Linked DNA regions of Macaca fascicularis. The protein of the gene in region 1 purifies or fractionates together with the protein of each later gene. This does not show direct contact. Links are inferred from orthologs where the notes say so. Each region holds a gene or a part of one and is shown on either strand. Other genes may lie near its edges. The genes, in order: SIKE1 and STRN.

The links.
Region 2: the proteins of SIKE1 (region 1) and STRN purify together in Homo sapiens (affinity purification with mass spectrometry; 4 studies listed by BioGRID and IntAct, with this or other methods). This does not show direct contact. The link is inferred for Macaca fascicularis from reciprocal best matches to the Homo sapiens genes SIKE1 and STRN.

The regions. Positions count from the first base shown.
Region 1 is NC_088375.1:119,594,657-119,598,485, reverse strand, and holds part of SIKE1 (suppressor of IKBKE 1), read right to left. Parts: intron 3,486-3,829; coding exon of another isoform or gene 3,453-3,485; exon of another isoform or gene 3,310-3,452; intron 2,050-3,309; coding exon 1,936-2,049; intron 1-1,935.
Region 2 is NC_088387.1:85,336,903-85,340,731, reverse strand, and holds part of STRN (striatin), read right to left. Parts: intron 1,859-3,829; coding exon 1,751-1,858; intron 585-1,750; coding exon 498-584; intron 412-497; coding exon 242-411; 3' UTR 1-241. UniProt on the Homo sapiens protein: Calmodulin-binding scaffolding protein which is the center of the striatin-interacting phosphatase and kinase (STRIPAK) complexes.

The DNA.
Region 1 (3,829 bases):
TACTGTCAAGCTGCATTACAACAACACATTATTTTGAGCCAGGAGCAGAAAACATTATTTTTAATTTAAAAAATTTTAAGGAAACAAAAAACCCACTAGTTGAGAATTTCCTTAAATACTACTTATTTATTCATTTAACAAACATTTACATGTAGGATGTAGGCAATGATACTCTTTTGTAGTAGTAATTTACTGAGTAATTTCTATATACCAAGTGTTACAATTACAAAGGAGAAACAAAAAACAGGGTCCCTCTCCATTTGAGGAATTCACTATGTTTTATTCTTCATGGTTCCCACAGTTTTACTATTATTTCTTTTATTTAAAAAATTCCTAATAATCGTTTCACTCTGATTAATCTCCTCTCCTGGATATCTTATAGTTCCAGAGAAATGGAAGGAAAGGGGGAAAGAAATTACTTATTGAGCATGTAGCTGGGTACTACTTGGGTGCCCTGTATATGCTATCTCACAATGATCTGTAGGGTAGGTATCATTGCCTACATCCATGTATTTCATGAGGATGCTCTGGCTCACAAAATTCCTAAAAGTTGTCCAAATTCAGACAACTTGGATGTGGTATTACTGGGGTCTGAATCTAGTGGTCATGTTTTTTCTACTTGAAGTATTAAGGTAGAATTTGTCCCACATTTCCTTAGGGCTGTTTCCATAAGTGAGGTAAATCGAGGATAAATAGAAGGTCATGCTATCATTTCACTAGCTCCTAATTCCTCCTTGGGACCTGTCACTACCTTTGATTTCTAGAGAGAGTAGCTTCCGCTCTTCATCCTTATTCTCTGCAGAAAATTCTGGTAAACCAAAGCATTTTTAGCTTCACCAAGATGTGCGGAAGTCCCAGCTAGAGTAACTAAGAGATTAGAGCCTGTGGTCGATGAATCTTCAGTATTTGTATCTGTCTCCTAGCATTTACATACTATTTAATATCATATGATACTAGGATTATCCCTTCCACTAGACTCTGGGCAGGTACCTGTGTTTTTCTCTCTGGTATTTCTCAAAGGCCCCAGGACAGTACCTTGTAATAAGCAGCACACAAACCATTTACTGAAATGCTTCATTTTTTTTTTTTTAATTTTTCAGACAGGATCTCATTCTGTCGCTCAGGTTGGAGTGCAGTGGCATGCATGATCATGGCTCACTGCAGTCTTGACTTCTGGGTTCAGGTGATCCTCCCACCTCAGCCCCTGAGTACCTGGGATTATAGGTGCACACCACCACACCCGGCTAATTTTCTGTATGTTTTTTGTAAAGACAGGGTCCCCGCCATATCGCCCAGGCTGCTCTTGAACTCTTGGGCTCAAGCAATTCACTCACCTCAGCCTCCGAAAGTTGAAATCCTTAACAATTTTATGAGCACACTAATGCCCCAAACCCTTTTTTGTGCTCCCTTAAAATAGGAATATTAAAATATTCCTATTTTAATCAAAATATGACCTAACATAGCTTTTAAGAAATCAAGACTACAAGGCTTATACAAGCAGTTCTTTGGCTTTGTAACCCAAATGCAACCACTTTTAACACTTTTATCTATTTCTTTTGGTATTTAATTCTGTAATTCTAAATAATATGCTTATACTGCTATTTCCTGATCATTAATTTTAGACATTATCTACTTCACTTATTATGGCAGAAGAAGGATTTTATCTCACATATAACTTCTCCCCTCTACTCCCTCTACCTTCCCATTATAATATCTCAAGTTATTGCCAATACATAGTTGGTATTTCCACTGATTGCTGTTTACTATATTTCCTTTCTTCAAAAGGATATCAAAGAGTATGAAGGAGGAGTTTTAATTTTAAATCATGAGCACACAGAAAACATTAATATATTACAGTGATGGGATAGTGATGGCATATCTTCCAGACTCCGAAAACTCTGAAATACTGTGAACCTAAAATAGCTACAATCTTACCTCTAATTGGGCTAATTTTTCCTGAATCTTACAAAACTGGTCATCATCCACCTGAACTGCTCTCCTCATCACTTCTCCCATTTCGCAGATTCTGTCAATCTGACTCTCAATTTCCTGTGAAGATATTAAGGAAACAAAGGTGGAAAAGTCACCTGTTCTCTCTATATAAAGAACATAAAAGTGTGTGCATTATGATTTTTAAAAGTTCATTTAATCTATGATACAGAAGTTACAATGGAGTTTCACTATAATTTTAGTCCTTAGACATAAAGCCATAGTAAAGTGATCTTGTGGTATTCACAGATAATTTTTTTTTTTTCCAAAAAATCAATTGTGCAAGACAGTGTGGCGATTCCTCAAGGATCCACAACTAGAAATACCATTTCACCCAGCCATCCCACTACTGGATATATACCCAAAGGATTATAAATCATGCTACTATAAAGACACATGCACACGTATGTTTATTGCGGCACTATTCACAATAGCAATGACTTGGAACCAACCCAAATATCCATCAATGATAGACTAGATTAAGAAAATGTGGCACATATACACCATGGAATACTATGCAGCCATAAAAAAGGATGAGTTCATGTCCTTTGTAGGGACATGGATGAAGCTGGAAACCATCATTCTGAGAAAACTATCGCAAGGACAGAAAACCAAACACCACATATTCTCACTCATAGGTGGGAAATGAACAATGAGAACACTTGGACACAGGGTGGGGAACATCACACACTGGGGCCTGTCGTAGGGTGGGGAGAGTGGGGAGGGATAGCATTAGGAGGAATATCTAATGTAAATGACGAGTTAATGGGTGCAGCACACCATCATGGCACATGTATACATATGTAACAAACCTGCACGTTTTGCACATGTACCCTAGAACTTAAATAAAAAAAAGAAGGCCTCCTTAAGGGGATCCTCATTCCAGTTGTATATGTTCTATTGATACCATTACTAAGGGATACAGTTTTTATTTTTTTATTTTTTATTTTTTGAGACGGAGTCTTGCTCTGTGCCCCAGGCTGGAGTGCAGTGGCGCGATCTCGGCTCACTGCAAGCTCCGCCTCCCGGGTTCACGCCATTCTCCTGCCTCAGCCTCCCGAGTAGCTGGGACTACAGGCGCCCGCCACCTCGCCCGGCTAATTTTCTTGTATTTTTAGTAGAGATGGGGTTTCACCGTGTTAGCCAGGATGGTCTCGATCTCCTGACCTCGTGATCCGCCCGTCTCGGCCTCCCAAAGTGCTGGGATTACAGGCTTGAGCCACCGCGCCTGGCCAGGGATACAGTTTTTAAACAAATATATAATGTTTCTTATATTTAAAACCAAGAAGTGAAGAGTAGAATGCATTTTCTGTTTTCACTCTTTGCCCAGACATCAAGTTGATAATCCTATGGTTATCAGTGATATGCATCAGCTCATAAGTAACCCTTCAGTATGTGAACATGGGGAATTTTTAAATACTGGGCTCTTCGATATGGATTTGTGTTACAGTCATGTTATCTTCTCACGCCTTCCAAGATTTCAAAGGATCTGATGGCTGTAATTGCAGAGAATAAATGAGTAATCTTTAGTCTATTTCAGAAATAGAAGGCCAGATGATTCCCTTTCCATAAAGGATTAAGTTTTCATCCAATGCCAACTCTGATAAGGCCTTAGTCATTTCTGTGGGTGAAATCTGATCTGATGCAAGCAATGTTATTTTCATTTCTGAAAATTATCTATGTCCAGTGCATCAATCACCCAATAGGTCCACCCTCCAATAAAAATATTTGAAACGGAAAAAAAAATCAGTTGTAGTTTAACTACCCATTGGATGTTGGATACTACCTCTAAGTGGCTGTTTAACTTAAATTTGAATACTTTCACTGGCAGGAAGCTTAC
Region 2 (3,829 bases), on another chromosome or scaffold:
TTGGGGGAAATTTGAAACAGACCTCAGGCTCACAGATTCAGCTGAGCTTGCAGCAACCTGAACAAACCTTAGTTTTAGAAAACAGTATATGAATTGCAAAACTATACTTCAACAAATGTTCTCTGTGCTCCTTCAGCAGAACAAAAGGGCAGGACGAGTTGATTCTTGCCCTCGTCTTCTGTATCTCTTTTGTGCAGTTGATTACTTATAAACAGCTAGAAGGTGAAGATGATACATTGCGTCATACAAAGACTTTAGCCAGTGCGTCAGCTCCAGCACTGGCTATGTAGCATTTGGATGGGTGGAAAGCTACATCATGAATCGATTCTTCAAACTTTTTTCGATGAGCTGTGAATTCTTGGATACACGTCTTACTTTCTAGATTCCATAAACGTATTGAACAGTCATGACCTATACCCAAAAAAAATTGAAAGGAAAAATTACATTAACATGAAAATGGTAAGGACAAATAAATAATCCACAGTTGAGGTACTTACTGCCAGACATCAAATAAAGGCCATTAGGATCAACTGCTAAACTTGTAACAGCTTCTAGGTGGGCTACCATCGAGTGGATCAGTTTGCCTTTGGAAAAAGAGATGGATATTCCTTATTAATGCCTTTCCTCATCGTCTATATATGCCAGTTACCATGTCATGCTGGTGTCTCCAGTCATCCCTCTCTGTGTGCTTACTGTATGAACAGCTTTTTCCATCAACTAAAACAACATGTCTCCCCTCTTGCCTCTAGTCATGGCAATGACACGGAAAACCAAAAAAGCTCAAATTTTAGATTACACTTTTGTCTTTTAATCCACAATATGGAAGTCAGTAATTTCTACACACACCCCTTAAGCCACATTTGTTAATTAGAACGTAGACATTATTAATCACCTACTTTGCATTCTTTAGCTACTGGCAACTTATGAGTTGTGGAAACACAGAATTCAAATTCACAGAGAGAAAACAATGACGCAAGGAAAAAGGGACAGAAAGAAAACATGGCCATAATTTTGGTGGATACAACATATAGAAAAAAATTTTAAACATTAAATATTCATCACCAGCAGCTAAACAAAGTCACCAAAAGTCAACATGTTAAAGGCAGATACTTAGATAAATATGGCAGCTAATATACGGTGCTTTCCTCCCAGCACAACGCTTCCTAAATTTCCTTTATACTGGTGAAATGTAGTAAAATAAAACTTGGGCAAGTCTCCATGCACAATTCAAATCAATGAGGACCAACTAGTCAGTTTTATAACACAGAAAATATTAGTCCATGGAAAAACGAATACAATGACCTGGAGGTTTTCCATCTGCAACACTAAAAAAGGCTATTTGATAACGGAATAATTGAATATTGAATAATGCTATTCAATAATTGAACAACATAATGACCATATGCCTCTATTTCCAATGTTTCTACTTTTCCCCAACATATACTACTACAACAGATCACAGTAACAGATCATTTTTATTGGTATTTGAGTGAATTTTTCCTGGTGTCCCTAGTGATAACCTTGGCTCTAAAGCCTACATATAGCATTTGCTCACTATTAAATAAACCAAAATGATTCTGTACTAGTCTTAGCAGATTTGGATGGAATGAAGAGAAACTGAGCCGGGAGAGTATCTGTGTTTCAGTGCCTATTCCCTGACTACGAAACCACCAACAAACACCAAAATTAGCCTACTTGTGGTAGGGATTTTTTTTTCTTTAATAAAAATCAATTCTTAGTAAGTTCTTACCTGTATTGTTATCATAGAATTTGATGTGCCTGTCTTCATGAGCAGTGATGCTGATCGGAAGAGTAGGATGACTGATGACTCTATTTATTTGGCAGGAAGAGTTGGCTGCTAAAAAGAAAAAATTAAAAAGCAACACAATTTAGTCAAAGATATTTTTCACATAAAGAAGAACTAAATTATCTGCCTAAGAGACTGAAAAAGTAGGCTGGCCATGGTGGCTGAGGCCCATAATCCCAGCAAGGTGGGAGGCCAAGGCAGGTGGATCACGAGGTCAGGAGATCGAGACCATCCTGGCCAACATGGTGAAACCCTGTCTCTACCAAAAACACAAAAATTAGCCGAGTGTGGTGGCGCATGCCTGTAGTCCCAGCTACTCAGGAGGCTGAGGCAGAAGAATCATTTGAACCTGGGAGGCAGAGGTTGCAGTGAGCCAAGATTGTGCCACTGTATTCCACAGCCTAGGTGTCAGACCGAGACTCTGTCTCAAAAAAAGAAAAGAAAAAAGAAAAAAAAGAAAAAGAAAAAGAAAAAGTAAATAATGTGACTTTTATTATTTGTTTTTAGTTTATTTATGCTGTGATTGTTTTCAAAATTTCAATGTTAGGAAAGAGAATTGCCTGAGCTATACTATACTGATAAATCTGGAAATATTTATAAATTATAATTTCCTGCTATATGTGGGTGCCACCTAAGGCTTAGTCTAGAACCACTAACACTGTTCATTCTACAACGTTCTGTAAGATTTTGCTATTTTAGTATAAGTAAGTTCTATCATCACTTACAGGGAGGTAATTCTCAAATTTAAATCTCAGCTCTTTTTGCATACAATGTTTTGTATCACATCATTATCATCTAAAGATAAATATGACAAAGAGAGCTTCTTAATCCTTAAATCCCTTTTTCACTCTTCCTCATCATAATAGAAATGGTCATCATTTGACAGAACCAGGTTTGGAATCCTAAAAGTCAGCATCTTAACTGTATTTTTTGTTAGTAAGTTCCAAAGAAACTTCAATTATATATACAATGCAATAGGAAAGCACATATCAAGCCCATATTACAGTGAACACATCAAGGTCCAGAAAAAGTTGTGACTCCTCCACAATCAGGTGACAATATCAGTACCTATTCTAACTTCTAACTCTCTCCCAACCTGATGGTTCATGCAGATCACACAACTGCCAAAATTGGTTCCTAAATGATCACACATTCTTCCTGAAAGGGTTTTATTAAAAAGAAATCAGTAATTTAAAACCTAAGTGATTTCTGTTAAGCTTTTTTTTAAGAGAAAAGAAACACTGACAAAAAGAAAACACTAATTGAAGGTATGTCAAAGTTTTAAAAATTAAATTATGGTCCAGGGAGAGAAAGGGACATCCTTGTAAAGTATATTACCGGGACAACTGTCAAAATTTGAATATAAATAGTAACTCAGATAATAGTATTGTGTCAATGTTAAGTTTCCTGATTTTGATCATTGTAATACACTACATCAGAGAATGTCCTTGTTCTTAGGAATTACACGCTAAAGGATCTAGGGGATAGGAGCATGATGTCTCTCATACGGTTCAGAAGTTAAAATTATACACATATATAGAGTGAAAAAGTAAATGTGACAAAATGTTACAAACTGCTAAATATGTGTGAAGGGTAGCCAGGAGTTCTTATACTGTTTTTGTACCTTTTCTGCAAGTTTAAAATTATTTCAAAATAAAGTGTTTTAAAAATTTTTTGAACCCTAGAATAGGTATTACAAGTTTATATTCGCATAATAGAAAATACAGCTAAAAACAGTCTAATCTTACAGAATTTTCATGTGGCTCCTAGAAATATGACATCTTAAAAACTGAAGATAGTTTATTCCCAAAGATAGTGGCAGGTAATTACCCAGCCTGTTATTTAAATATAAAACGTGGCTGGGCATGGTAGCTCACGCCTGTAATCGCAGCACTTTAGGAGGTCGAGGCAGGCGGATCACTTGAGGTCAGGAGTTCGAGACCAGCCTGGCCAACATGGTGAAACTGTCTCTACAAAAAATACAAAAATGAACCAGACATGGTGGCACATGCCTGTGGTCCC